2 linked regions of the Mus musculus genome follow. The protein of the gene in region 1 interacts with the protein of each later gene in a biochemical or structural test. Links are inferred from orthologs where the notes say so. Each region holds a gene or a part of one and is shown on either strand. Other genes may lie near its edges.

Region 1 (7,181 bases):
ACTCATCCGCGACCCAGGTGACTACTGAGGAAGACCCAGTACTGACAAACACCATTCCATCCCCCCCACTTCATTATAGTGCGCTATCATACAGGCTAACTTACCCCAACCAAAAAAAGTGACAATACCTTAAGAAATGAGTACATAATAAAGAACAGGGGAAAACCTTTAGAAGAAATAATACCACTAAGTTTCATCTCAAACCAAGTAATGGACTTCAACTATTTGAAACAGCTCAACATATAAAAAACTCTCTACCAATTCAGAATTACGGCATTTAGAAAACCCTCTTCAAACAGCCAGCATTTTAAAACAAACGTGTTTTGGTTTAGCATAAAAAGAGCCACAAAATATAGCTAGCATTAATGCATGCTTGTCAGTCAGTAATGAACATTTAAGTTTGTGAGGTTTAAGTGCTTCCCTTTATATTTCTATTACTATCTTCCTGGTAAAAACCCCCGAGTAAAACCACCACATTCCATATAGTACTGACACAAAATGTTTACATTTCAACATCATGGTAACTTAATGAAGGATAAAGATACTCTTACACTTCTTCTTACTAAAGCTATATAACTGCTTTGCCATGCAAGAATCCCAAGCAGTAGTGAAGACAGAGTATAACTTTCAAAAAACAGAGATCAAGCAGTTAAGTAGTTTTCAGAAAACTGCCATATCTGTTATCTTTGGTTAGTTAATACAGTGCTTTAAAGCATGCAGCACTCAACTGCTGGCAGTACCATAAATAAGCGCACCATAGAGTACAGATCCTCTTACCCTACAACATAGCGTATTTCTCTGTCCACTCTCTTGCTAACCTATTGTACCTAATTGAATAAGCACACTTAGCATTAATTATAACATATGAAAGTTAAATGGTTAAGCTGAACATAAAGATAAATCAAATAGTTGATAAATTTAGACCAAAATTTAAAGGTTTATTTTATATATATATAAAGTATATATATATATATATGTAGTGCACTGTAGCTGTCTTCAGATTCACTAGAAGAAGGCATCAGATCCCATTACAGATGGTTGTAAGCTAGCATGGGGTTACTGGGAATTGAACGAAGGACCTCTGGAAGAGCAGCCAGTGCCCTTAACCGCTGAATCATCTCTCCAGCTCTAGACCAAAAATTTTACACTAGTCTTTTTTCTTTATGTTTGGAAAACAAACTCAGGTTTATTTCCCCAAACTGAATAATTAAGCAAGGCTTTAACACATTAGAAAACAAACATCTCAAGGGAGCTACTCACTGTCATGTATGCTATGAGCATATATTTATTTGGCAGGGTCTCACTAGGCAGCCTAGACTACCTTCAAACTTCTAATGCTGCAGCCTAAGCCATTATGCTGGTCCTTACTGCTTTTAATTATGTTTTAGTAACTAGCTTATGAGAAACAAACATAAAAAGGTACTGTCACAAATTTCAGCAGAAATAAGCTCAACTCACTAAATAAAACTGTTTATAGTCATTCATTAAACAATTGCATACTTACTTATCTCTGTCTGTTTTATAGATCCGTGCAATCTCTGGCACTAGGGGGTCGTCTGGGTTTGGATCACATAGCAGTGAACAAATGGATAAAAGAACTAAAAGGAAAAAAATCCAATTTCAGGTGTCTGGACAAGCAAATGATAAAATTTAAAAATGTACTCTAGACCTCATCATAATTTTATTATTCTATAATATCTCCACAGAGTTCTACAGAAAATAAGTTTCTATAATTAACAGTATTAGAAATGAAAGCTCTGATGGCACCAAAGTCAGTAATGATTAGGCCACATGCAAGGTGGTCGTCACACGACATCCTACTAGTTTGGTTCTTTAAAAAAAGGGGGGGGGGGCTATGTAAGAGAGGCATCAGAATTTAAGGATTTTCTTGGTACTTTCAGGAGATACAAAACTCTTAGTAGTATAATAGAGTCAAGGCTTGGCAAAAAAACCCCACCAAAACCAAGTAAGGGGGGAAAAATAGAAAAAACAAGAAAACCCAGAGGCTCATTCTTTGTTCTACCTTAGGAAAGGTTTCTCACAAAAACTACAAGAGCTGCTTTATTTCCTGGAATCAGAAGTGAAAACCACTGTCCCTAGAGACTGTGCAAATGACATCGTTAAACAGCATAAAGTCAAAGTAACTATCAAAGCTGCAAACACAGTGTCAAATTCAAATGAGGGGACTAAGTAAAATTGGAGAATATAATAACAACTCAGGTCAGTGTTTCTAAATCTGACTTGCAAGCTTTTAAATCTGTCAAAAAAATCAAGTTAATTTTAAGAACAAAACAAAATCCCCATCAATTCAGTCTGCATTTGTAAAAAATACAATTCAGAATTAAGAGTATATCATGCCAGGCATTGGTGGTACACGCCTTTAATCCCAGCACTTGGGAGGCAGAGGACTTCTGAGTTTGAGGCCAGCCTGGTCTACAGAGTGAGTTCCAGGACAGCCAGGGCTACACAGAGAAACACTGTCTCGAAAAACAAACAAACAAAAAGTACATTCCAGCAGGGAATGAGAAAAAAACAAAAAAACCCAGAAACCTGGCATTTAGATTATGAAGCATATGAAAAGAGAATTAAAAAAAAAAAAAAATCCAAAGAGGTTAAAAAATTAGTCCCAAGACTGTAAGCTCTTAAAAGAGTAATTGGAAAATGCAGCCAAATCCATGTAAAGATTCAAAAACATTTTAACAAGCATACGGAGAAATGCCTGTGTGGTGTAGTGTGGTGTGGTGCCGTGCCTGTAAACAGAACATACTTGTTTCACTCTGTATTTACCAAACTCATAAAACATTTTGGTAAAAAGCTAACAATTATTCCAAGTTTTAAAAATGTTACACTTCAGGATTGAGCCTGAAAATAATAGTTAACACAAATACCCCTAAGATTATAATTACTAGCATTAAAAACATGACTAATATAAAAACATTAATTACCCAAGCCTATAAATTACTAAAAGGCAATCTCATCCTTAAAATGTTTTGCGTACAATTGAATTTGCAGAGTAGAATGTCAAAAAAAGACTTGTCATTCAGAATCCAAAAGAGGACAGGAGGAACTTTCCATCTGGGGTATACCTGGAGATCTAGAATGTGTTAGACTTAACAGTACAAGATCAGTCTTTACGTAACAATCTTTCCCCAAATTCCCTAAGTATTCCACATTTTATTAGACACAGAATGATTATCATAGTTAAGTAATACCCAACTAAAGACAGGTTCAAAATCAGATACAGAAAATCTACACAGATGCTTATTAGAGTAGAAAGCTGTAAATGCTGTAAACCATGCCTGGCTATATTTTCCTATTCTCACCAAAAAGATGGCCCAACAGTTATAGGCACATACTATTTGTATAGAGGACAGTTTTAGTTTCCCAACTCCCACTCTTGGTGCCCCCTCACAACTGTCCTTTAACTACAGCTCCTGGTGATCTAGCATTCTCTTCTGGACTCCAAAACATCTGCATTCACGCGCACATTACCACCCACAAACAGTTTAGCACCAAAATAAGTTTATTAAAATTAATTTGGAGGCTGAAGCAATAGTTCAGTAGGTAAGAGCTCAGGCTAAACAAAAAGACCTGAGTTCAAATCCCCGCCGCCCATGAAAAGCTGTGCGTGCTTGAACCCTAGCATTGGTGGTAAAGTCAGGCAGACACTGAGAGTTACTAAGAACTTCTGGTTTAATGACAGAACCTAGCCAAGTGAAATAAAAGTATACAAGAGGAGTTTAATGACAGAACCTAGCCAAGTGAAATAAAAGTATACAAGAGGAAGATACCTCTGGCTTCTGATATATTACACTAAAAATAAACTGCCATTATGTGAAAAAAAAACTCACTAGGAAAATGCCCTACCAACATATTTTTAACTTTAGACAAAAATCCCTTTAAAATTTATTTTCCCTGATGAAGTATCAACCCAAAACACCCAAACCCACTAACTTTTTTTTCCTTTTTAAAAGATCTCAGTCTAGCCTCAGACTCACTCAGATTAACCAAGGACGATCTTGACTTCAGATCCTCCCGCCCCTATTCCCAAAAGTGCCATTGTTTAGGCATGTGCCACACCTGATTTATAGAACACTGGGGGTGGGGTGGGGGGTGAGTGGGAGAAGATTGAACAGTGAGCTTTGTGCATGCTAGGCAAGCATGTTATACTGAGATACATCCCCAATCTTGCAAGCAACTTTTTTTTTTTAAAAGATTTATTTATTTATTATATGTAAGTACACTGTAGCTGTAGTCAGACGCACCAGAAGAGGGCATCAGATCTCTGTTACAGGTGGTTGTGAGCCACCATGTGGTTGCTGGGATTTGAACTTCGGACCTTTGGAAGAGCAGTCGGGTGCTTACCCCCTGAGCCATCTCACCAGCCCGCAAGCAACTTTTAATTAAAATGTTGGCATAATAAAGTCACAGTAGCTGAAAACTATTATATTGAAATTATCATTTTACCTTTAGAAATAGTTAAAGCAGGAGACCACTGTGATCTTAGAATATCAAGACAAATGCTGCCATTACTGTTAATATTTGGATGATAAATTCTTGTTGTAAATGCAACCTAAAAAAAACAAATCACATGACACAACCTTTAGATGGCTTTTGCAAATGAAAATAAGTATACTTTAAAAAGCAAGGCTTAAAATACTAAGTCTCACCAGTGATCATAGTAATGAGAGAATATAAGGAGACAGGAAAATGTGATCAAAGCACGCATAACCATATAAGGAAATATTTATATATGGGAAATTTCAACAAAATCAATTTTAGGTAATAAAAGCTAGTTTTAAAAAGTTAACATCAGCCTCAGCACGGAAAAAGTAATTAACTTCGCTTTGAAGGTTAACTCTAGTAGTATAGCTTAACTATCAGAAGGCAGGCAATCTGTGAAAGGGAACTTAGGACCCTCAATGTAGGATACAGGCATATATTCAAATTCTATTCCCACTGCTGACACAACAAACTGAGTATAAGCTTTATACCCAAAGGAACTTGACTTTCTTACTACACTGTACTTTTAACATGACTAAAGAGGGTTAGAAAAACACCATAATTTAATACACATTATTTTCTAGTCATTCACATACCATGAATTTGAACTAATAGTTCTGAGAGAAAAAAAAAATCAAGGACTATACGCTCTGAACTCATTACTCTGCTTTAGCCTACAGAATACCAGGATTAAAGGTGTTGTTATAGATCCAGCAACTTAACCTTTAACACTATAGTCACCTAAGTGCATTAAAAGCAACTAGAACATAAGGCAAGTTGACTCTACAGCTTACTTACTAGACTCCAATACTTAGCTTAAGCATGGAAATACTTGAGCTTTGCAACTTCAAAAAGGCAAATCTTTTCTACATTACAGTGTTAAAATCTTTTGTCTAATCTTAGAAGTTAGGCATGAGTAAAGTATGTGGTATACTGCTAAACTTAGCTCTTGGAAGATGAAAGCTCTTAGATGAAAAAAGTTCCAGAATAGTCTTTAACAGGAGTTATCTACATAAATGCAGCTCATTTCTCTATGTATTACTTATTTTTATTCACCATGAATACAGGGCTTAAGCTTCAATTATTCAGAAACCTAAATTTACATGAACATTTTATTCTTCTAAAACAATCCATAAACTAACAGATTTTGGAAGGACAATAATACTTGCCTTAGGTGGTTTGAAGGGGTAGTCTGTAGGAAAATGAATTGTCAAAAAGAATACACCACCTTGATATGGGCTGTCATTCTGTAAAGAGAAAAATAGGCTTAATATGTCAAGATAATTCCTTAAAAAAAGAGATGGCTAAAATGCCATTTCCATACAAGCCTGGTAACCTGAGCTCAGTCCTTAAAACCTATGTAAAAGGTGGCAGGAGAACTGACTTCAGTGTTGTCCTATTCACATGTCATCACATGCACACACCCACACCCACACCCACAGAATGAATACCTATTTCAAATAACTAAAGCACCTTCAAGAGGCAAAACATATCTGAGTTTACTTTTCAATTGGCACCTTGAAATTCTTTCATAAAACCAAGAAAACTTTTCTTCTAAACTTAACACAATGTATCATACTCTTGAAAGTCAACAGCTAGAAAACAAAATTTCAAATTACTAGTGTCCTTTTCTCCTTTGTTCATTACAATGTGCACATAAATATTCAACCATGCTAACTAATATAAAGATTTGAAACTACTTTCTATGAGTTTTAATAAAAACTAAAATGAGAAATATACACTATTTCCATTCTATGAAATAAAGGACCAAAAGATACAGCCCATTACAGTGTCTATAGATCTATTCTCTGCTTTTAATCTGACCCCTCACATTTTACAGTTTCCACTTTCTTCTGTACTGTGTCTATTTACTTCTGAGCACATTTTCAAGCCTACTAAAATATACTTGTCTACTTGATGAGATGCATTCAAATCTCAAACTTCTATGTCAACCCCATTCTTCCTAAAACAAAAATAGAGGTCTCATACATGATTCTTTTATTTTCATTTGATTCACAGTCCTAAAGGACTCAAAGAATGTCAGATTTAGTGGCTTCTTATGCCTTCCATCTAAGGACTTTGAAGGCCGAGGCAAGAGAGTTACTATGAGTTTGAAGGCAGCTTGAGGTACAAGGTTGTAATTTCTAGGCCAGCCTTGGCAAGATGGTAAAGTGAAGTTCCATCTCCAAACACACACACCCCTACACCTTAAAATTTCTTGAACTAGCTGCTTTTTGGCCATTGCTATTTTAACTGTGATAGTATGAAATGACATAAAAATGTGAAGTTGGATCAATAACTCTTTTAAACATAGTTTTATTTCAGATTTCATTTATAGTTGATTATCCTCTGTCCATACTGACAAATACTGAAATGCCACAGACTAAAGTGGAAGTTATTATTTCCAAATCTTTTCTTGCCAACTACCTTTCAAATTAAAGAAAATTAACCACATGAGAGACAGGGAACTTATTTCTGATGACGTGAAGCATTAACGGGACTACTGTTAATATAATGCAATGACCCTCTTTCCCACATTTAAATCAGATAACCAGCACTTCTTTACCAATTCTTTGTGGTTCCAACTATCTTTAGAAATTAAAAAAACAGCATACCCCATAGTAACTTCAAGCATTTATGTGTGAATTTTGAATTGATTCAGAGGTATTTGAGTATAA
Region 2 (7,705 bases), on another chromosome or scaffold:
GCTAACATTGTTCCAGTGTGTTCAAAGCTGCAAGACAGAAGTGAATCTAGTCGCCCAAGTGTTTATTTTACTCCTAGATTTTGTGTGAACTGTGGCAATAAATTCAACTGATGAAAAATTAAAATATTTTTAAAAAGAAAGGAACATTCAGATAAACACTATTTTCAGGAGAATAGAGAAGAACAATAATTATAAAGTCATGGCTGAGCCTTATCTTCAAAAGTTCAAAGTTTCAGGAGGGCCACTAGCTTTTTGTCAGAAAGAAATATTGAGTTATATGCATTCATAAATATATAGGAATATACATATTCATGATATATGCATATGACTAGCTATACATACATATATGCATATTACTTGCATATATGTATACACACATATACACACATGCACACTGGCAGTGCTGAAGTGAGACTGTAGGCTGTTAATTGTAGTGTTTAGAAAACAGAATTCTATTTCTTACCCTCTGGCAGTAGAAGTGAATTTAAGTCAGAAACCATTTGACAGCAGCTCTCTCAGAGTCTCCACCTACAGCATAGTGAGTCGAAGACCCTATGACCCTATCCTGAAGGCTTCCCTATTTTCTAGAAGAAGAAGCTACAGCAAGCCTGACGTGACAGAAAGCCAATACGAAGGGTATTCAGTATTCACATTGCTAAAATGTCAACATTGGGTGTTCATGCTAAGCTCACAAGGCTTTCTCAGTTCCATTAAGTTAGCAAGCCATCTCTCTTCATCCATTCCCTCAAATAACCTGAAGGTGGTGAGGCTGCAGCTGTGTGTGGTGTTCTCCCCTGGTGACGTTGCTCTGAACTGCTCAAGGAAGAGTAAAACAATCACCAGGAGATCATAACCATGTCTGTCACACATTCCTTTACTTAACGTTATAATCTCTCATCTGTTTTGAATATTCTGAATAATAATTCTTAACAAATAGAAAGAAAGCTCCTCTCATAAAATGTGGGTTGCTTGTGGAGGGTGGTTTTGACTCTAGCTCTGTGCTTCCGGGAGGTAACTGTAACATGCGATTTGGTTTCTTTATCCACCTACAGCATTATTGAAAGGGTCAGATATGGTGTGTAAGTGTCTATGAAGTACTAAAAAAATACCCAACCCTTACTTGACTTATCCCACTGTATCCTTTTGCAGCTACACTAATCTTAAGTCAGACAATTAAGAATAAATTAAACCCATTGGCATAATGACACAGGTTTGCCATGCTCACATTTAGGAGAATGGGTAAGGAGAATGGACAGTTTACAGGCAGAGGGGACCACTGTCCTAATTTGCTCTCTACTGATGTGATGATGACCTTGGTCAAAAGCAACCTGGAGAGGACAGGGTTTGTTTGGTTTCTACATTCTGTTGCCAGTGCATCGTTAAGGGAAGACAGGGAAGAGACTCAGGAAGACCAGAAACCCGGAGGCAGGAACTAAAGCAGAGATAAAGCAGGAGTGCTGCTTCCTAACTTGCTCCCCAGGCTTATTATCAGGTACCTCTCTTCTATCTCCCAGCACCATCTGCCTAGGGATGCTACTCCCCATGTTAACTATCAGTCAAGAAAATGCCCCACAGACCTGTCTACAAGCTAAGCTGATGAAGGTGTTTGTTTTACTCAGGTGAGGTTCCTGGATGTGCCTAGATTTGTGTGAAGTTGAGCCCCCCCAAAAAAACAAACAACAACAACAACAAAAAACAAACAAACATAAAACCAACAACAACAACAAAATCTTACCAGCACAACTATATAGTGGGGGTACAGGACAACCTAGGTTATACACCAAAATGCTGTCTCAAATAAACCAAACAGGAACAAAGTCCTAGTTAGTTTTTAATGCAACCTGTTACGAAGTGAGTTCCACAGTCCTGAGCCCCTGAATTTCAGATGTCAGAAAGGGAGAGAGAGTGAAATGCTGTACTTTTCTTCTTTTTTGCTCCTAAAGAAATTCGGAATCAAATATGACTAACCATGGCCTGTATACAGATTCTCATCTATCCCAAATAACACACTCTACTGTGGAAAAGGCCTATGGATATTTATATTCACAGAACAAAAAACTCCTAAGTCTTAACTTAAATGCATTGTGGGGGATATCAGGTAGATGGGCTACAGCAAGATAGGGAAAGTTCTTTTATCTTTTCCGGATGTTATAACATTCTTAGTGGAAGCTCATAGTCTTCTAACTTTAACTATACATTCCAATGGTTTACCTTATAGTCAGAAGATTGTTAGGCCAGAGTCATAGGTTGTTAATAAATGGCCATTAAGAGAACTAAAGCTAGCCCAAGATAAATTGACTATGTGTCTACAATATGTTTTATCCTTTCCCAGTTCTAGGTATTTGGTCAGTCCATAGAATTGCCAGCACAGATATAATTTCTTCAAGGAACTTTGAGTCACATATTCTCTGGGAAAGCCTTGGGAGTTCTGGGTGCCTGGGTTGGCTCAGGGCTCTAGAATTATCTGAGATATCAAATTGTACTCAGAATGTATAATCAGGAAATCCGGCCAGGGATAAAATCATGTGAGAACTCCTGAATCACTGAGAAGAGAAACAAGTTGGAGAATGAATAGCCTGGTTCAGAGTTCCATCAAAATCGATGCCAGGTGTATACCGAACCTTGGACAAGATGTGTGGGACAGGGGCGGGAGTGAGGTGGGGGAAGGGGATAAATTTACTTTTCCCACCTTTCTGAGTTATTAGTAACTCATCAAAACAATCCTTAACTTTATTTTGAGATAAAGAAGTAGAAAAATGAAGTTAAGAGTGATTCTGGGAAATTAAAGCCAGGTTCTGACAGGTAGAAACTGGTTACTTTGCCTTTTAACCCCTAGGTCTCAGCTTCTTTTCAAAGTCTGTAGTCTGTCGGAAAGTGTCTAAAGGTATTACTGTTTTTGTTTTGTTGTCTTATCATTGTGCAGAGGGTACACAGCTAGGTGGAATTTCAAATATGAGAGCATAATATTTCAGATTCCTTCATATTCCTCACTAGTACTGTGTGTTTATCGCATTCAGGAGCAGGTATTACCTGTCCACAAACTACCTTCAGGACCAGGAGGTCCTGGCCACAAAACCTCCCGTCTGACAAGGCTCAATGCAGGCTTTTCCCTGTTTCTCCCTCTGCTATCCGCCTCTGCGCTGTTTGGCAAAGAAAACGTCTTTCCTAAGGGGCATGTGTTCAGTGACTCCACTTTGGGATGTGTCACAGGCAGAAACACCTAGCCCGGGGACCTGCAGCTCTTTGAAGGGAGTGTGCTTGTCTTCTTCAAAGAGGCGTCTGTCTGCAAAGTGCCCGAACTTTCTGGAGACTACTACTGGGGGATTAGCATTGACTAACCATGTTTAGACTCTGAAACGGGGCAGAAAGCTGCAATGGCCTAGGTTTCCGGAGCCATCCCTATCTATTCAGCTGGGCCGCGGGCGCTGAGCCCACAGACCTACAAGCCCCAGCATGCCTCGGGAGGCGGGGCAAGTTGACGGGCAGGCGACTGTACGAATTGGCGACTGCCATGGGAAGGACGTGCTAGCGCATGCGCAGAAGGCAGCGGGCGGGTGGGCTGGCAGCGGTGGACTCGCGTCGGAGCTGCGGGCGGTCAGGTAGGGGGCGGGAAGGAGGGTCTGCGACCAGGGACTGTGGTGGGTCGCGGGGATCCAAGATTGAATGGCAGGATTTGGGGACTGGATCGGAGTGGCAGGATCGGATTCGGAAGGGACGGGCTCAGGAGCGATTCGGCGGAGATGAGATGCAGCTGGGGGAGGGGAGCAAAGGGGCTGAGGAAATTTGCAGTTGCAGCATGTCGGGAGGTATGAGGTAATGTGGGGGCCATGCGGAGAGACGGGGTGCAGCATGTGGGAGATGGGAGGATCTGACGTCCCTGGAGGTATCTGGGTGCAGAATATCAGAAAGCATAAAGGAATTTGGCAGGCCTGGATGAGGTTGGGTGTTGGCGGGCAGAATCTTAGGGGCTTTGAGGAGATCGGTGTAATGATAGCAAGATCTGAGATCAAAACAGCCAAGGTCTTGGAAGATCCTAATTGCTGAAGAGAAAGGGATTTCTGTAGCGGAATCTGGGAAAGACTGAGGGGTGAGTTCCCGAGGGAATCAGTACCCAGTTAGAAAATCGCAGCAAAGGTTTGAAGGCAACACGTGAGGCAGGACGGGGGCGGAGGTGGGGGGCGGGGGTTGGAGGTGGCCCAGTACAAGATGGGGATGATGGGCAGATGAGCGATCAGATTGAAGGAGGGCAGAAATCTGAGGTACAGGATTGGAGTTTGGAGATGGCATACAGGGGTGATAGATGTGGGAATTTGAAAATAGATTAAAGGATGTATTGGAGGGATGAGGGACACATAAGAGCTATTGGTGAATTGCAAGGCTGCAGCATACAGTCTAAAAGGTTGAATGATAGATTTGGGATTTAGCGTTGAGAATGAGGTTTGTGGAGAATGAATGGTGGGGAGTGAATGCTGTAACTAGATTATAGAATTCAAAACCAAATGAAATTTGTGAGTAGGTTCTTAGGAGGTTTTTGTTTGTTTTTGTTTTTGTTTTGGTCTTGGCATAACTGAACCCAGAGGGTCTTCTGGAGACCCAGGGACCTGAAAGTAATTTATAAATAAACTATGTATAAATGAATGGAATTTAGGAGAATGTAAGGGTTTGGGAATAAAGACACCAGTCTTCAGAAATCCTGAAGGAGAGTTTGACATTCTTTGAAGGGCAGATTCTTCCTCACTTACTAACTAAAGGCCCTTTAATCCTGAGGCAGGCATGTATTCTGACTATACCCACTCTGACCACCCCCACCTCCTCATCACAGACCCGATATTATAGGCCTTGGGGAAGAAGCAGTGAACTACCTAAGGGCTTCTGCTACCTAGCCTTTTCCCTGTCCAAGGTATGAGCCAAAATGATCTTCAACCTAATATTATCTTATAGGAGGTCCATTATAGCTCACAGAGACAATGGTTCTGGGTGAGAAACAAAACAAGGTTGGAACAAGGCGGAGCCTCCTGTCTACTGAGTATTTAGCCTGTGCCATTACCTAAAGCCAGGGTTCTCAGACAGGGTGCTTTTGTTCTGCCAGGAAACATTTGACCGTGTCTGGATGGAGGCATTGTCAGTTGTCATAGTTGAGGGGTTGTGTGTGTGTGGGGGGGGGGATACTTGGGGGGGGGGATACTGGTTTCTAGTGAACAACCCCTACAATAAACTATCATTTAGCTAGAAATGGCAGTCATGCCAAAATGGGTCCTGGCATCAGAGTCAAGAATGCTCTGGTTAGATCCTGGCATTATTTATTTATTTATTTGTTTATTTATTTATTTATTTATTTTTCTCTTTCTGCTTTGTAACCTTTAAAGAGTCAATTGACCTCTCAGTGCACAAGCTCTTCAGGGACCTACGTCATAGAATGGCTGTGAGGACTCAGTGTACTAAATCAGGGTGCTTACTGTTTGGTGCCCAGTAAAAGTGCTCAGAATTTACTACTTTTGAAAATATGTGTGCTTTCTTCTCATGATATTCCTTCTAAATATACATTCACTGTTCAGTGTTACCCACGAAACTAAGGCTTAGGAGGTCACTTGTCTAAAGCCACATTCCTGCCATGTAGCTCCCCGCCACATCCTCTCTTCCATTGCTGGTTTGCTGCGGTCGGCTTGGTCTTCCCTTTGCAGCCTCTCCTAAGGAAAGGGAGGCTTGCCCCGTAGTCAGAAGCTGGGTGACTTCTCTTGATTAAGAGAAGCCCTGGACTTTGTTCTTGCTTTGCTCTTAGACCAGAGCCAATGGGGAGATAGTGCAAGGAGCTTGGAGCTACACGGCTGAGATAAGGAGGGCTCAGGCTCAAGGGCAGTGCTAGACGGAAGGAAACTGCTCTGAATGTTCTCCTTTGTGCATCTTGTCTCTGGCACAGAAGGGCAGCATTGTCTTTATCAACTCCAATCCTAGCTACGCTACAGAAGGCAGTTTAGAGAACAAAATTAGACTGGAGCTGAGGGCAGAACACTTAGCTGCGATGACATCAACTCAGATCGCTTAGGAAAACACCTGACGGAGGTTGAGTTGGCCGTGGAATCGGCTGTTTTACTGCTTGCTTGGTGGTCAAGCACTTGCCAGCCTCTGTCTGAAAACACAGCGAGCTCGGCTGAGTGCTGATTAATGTGCATTCTCTCCATAAGGCCCACAATCTAAATGTTACTCCTGATTCTACAAGGCAGAAAGTGAAGAGCCACTTGTTAAATGACATATCCTGGGTTACAGAGCAAGTGGCTAATTTGGGCATATAAATCAGAAGTCACATGCTGGCAAGCCTCCTAGAGTGCACCCTCCTGTATGCAGATGGTGTTACCTTTGGGAGACTTCTTCCATTGTGCCTTTCTGATAGAAAGGTATGTTTTAAAAGTCATTCCTGGATGAATTTACCAACCTCTAAGCCAACTCTTACCTGCAGGTAAAAGTAGTCTTTTGGTCTGTGTTTTCGAGACAGGGTTTCTCTGTGTAGCCCTGGCTGCCCTGGACTCAATTCTTAGACCAGGCTGCCCTAGAACTCAGAAATCCACCTGCCTCTGCCTCCCAAGTGCTGGGATTCAAGGCGTGAGCCACCACTGCCCGGCACAGTAGTCTCCGCTTCTATAAAAGTACATGTTTTGGGTGAGCCCTTTTGTGGCCCAGTTCACAGATGAGCAACTGGGGGACAACTCTACTACATACCACGGTGGGAGAACATGAACAGGTTACTTGTTTCTTAATGATGTTTAGGATGTGGACTAACACTTCCTTCACACAGTTAAGAGAAGACATGCAGTGTGTAGAGGGTTCCTGGCACTCGTTACTCCAGATGGCCATTAGAAGACATGGTTTTAGCTATCAGCAGGCACCATAAGTGCCCTCAATCTGAAGTTCACACTTGTCTCCCCAGCCAGAACTAGGGTGAATAGTCAGTCTGTTAGTGAGTGGCCTTTGTGGCACCGAGTCAGGTTCACACTTGGTTCGAATTGAGTTAAAGTGCATAAGGAGTAAATGCAGCTTGAGTGCTGGCCTGAATAGGGGTGATAAGTCTCAACAACATCAAAACCCTACAGGCCATGTGAGAAGCAGAGTAATTGTAGAATGGTTCTTCATGTCAAGTTTTTAGATGATTTTTTTTTTCACATCTCTTTCTAAACGTTGTCTCCATCTCCATCCATCGTGGCAGGACTACACTAGTGGTAATTGCTTAGGAAAGATCTGCTTCGTTAATTGCTTAAGGTTCGACAGGTTTGCTTATGGCCTAACCCCCCCCCCCCCCAAGAAACAAAGAGGGGCGTGGGAAAGCTTGAGGTCAAATAGCAATCTTCCAGAAGGCCCTGAGTTTAGATTATTTCAATGTATGGCTGCTGCCTTAGGCATCTGCCTTCCGACAGGAGCCTGTTCATTTCATATCACAGGCTGGCCAATGGCTATGGCAAGCAGTAGCAATTGTAGTCACTGTTCCTGATAATTATAATAAAGGCTCTGTACACAGTTAGTTCTGTGCCTAGTTTGGTGCTGTCCAAAGTGCTTTTTGCTCAATCTCTTCTAATCTCTGCTAGTGAGAAAGCATCACCTTGAAAGGCTATTTCATACCTAAGTTGAGGTGTTAGGAAACCTTTCAAATCTCCACTGGAAGTGATAGAGCTGGAATCTAAAGCCGGAATGCCCAGGTCCTGCAAGTACTTTCTTA

The links. The genes of interacting proteins can lie anywhere in the genome.
Region 2: the proteins of Ube2d3 (region 1) and Trim32 form a complex in vitro, tested with the Homo sapiens proteins (3 studies listed by BioGRID). The link is inferred for Mus musculus from reciprocal best matches to the Homo sapiens genes UBE2D3 and TRIM32.

What each region holds. Positions count from the first base shown.
Region 1 is NC_000069.6:135,457,367-135,464,547, reverse strand, and holds part of Ube2d3 (ubiquitin-conjugating enzyme E2 D3), read right to left. Parts: intron 5,751-7,181; coding exon 5,673-5,750; intron 4,574-5,672; coding exon 4,468-4,573; intron 1,599-4,467; coding exon 1,505-1,598; intron 1-1,504. UniProt on the Homo sapiens protein: Accepts ubiquitin from the E1 complex and catalyzes its covalent attachment to other proteins. In vitro catalyzes 'Lys-11'-, as well as 'Lys-48'-linked polyubiquitination.
Region 2 is NC_000070.6:65,601,471-65,609,175, forward strand, and holds the start of Trim32 (E3 ubiquitin-protein ligase TRIM32), read left to right. Parts: upstream 1-3,515; 5' UTR 3,516-3,599; exon of another isoform or gene 3,600-3,813; intron 3,814-3,845; exon of another isoform or gene 3,846-4,087; intron 4,088-7,705. UniProt on the Homo sapiens protein: E3 ubiquitin ligase that plays a role in various biological processes including neural stem cell differentiation, innate immunity, inflammatory resonse and autophagy.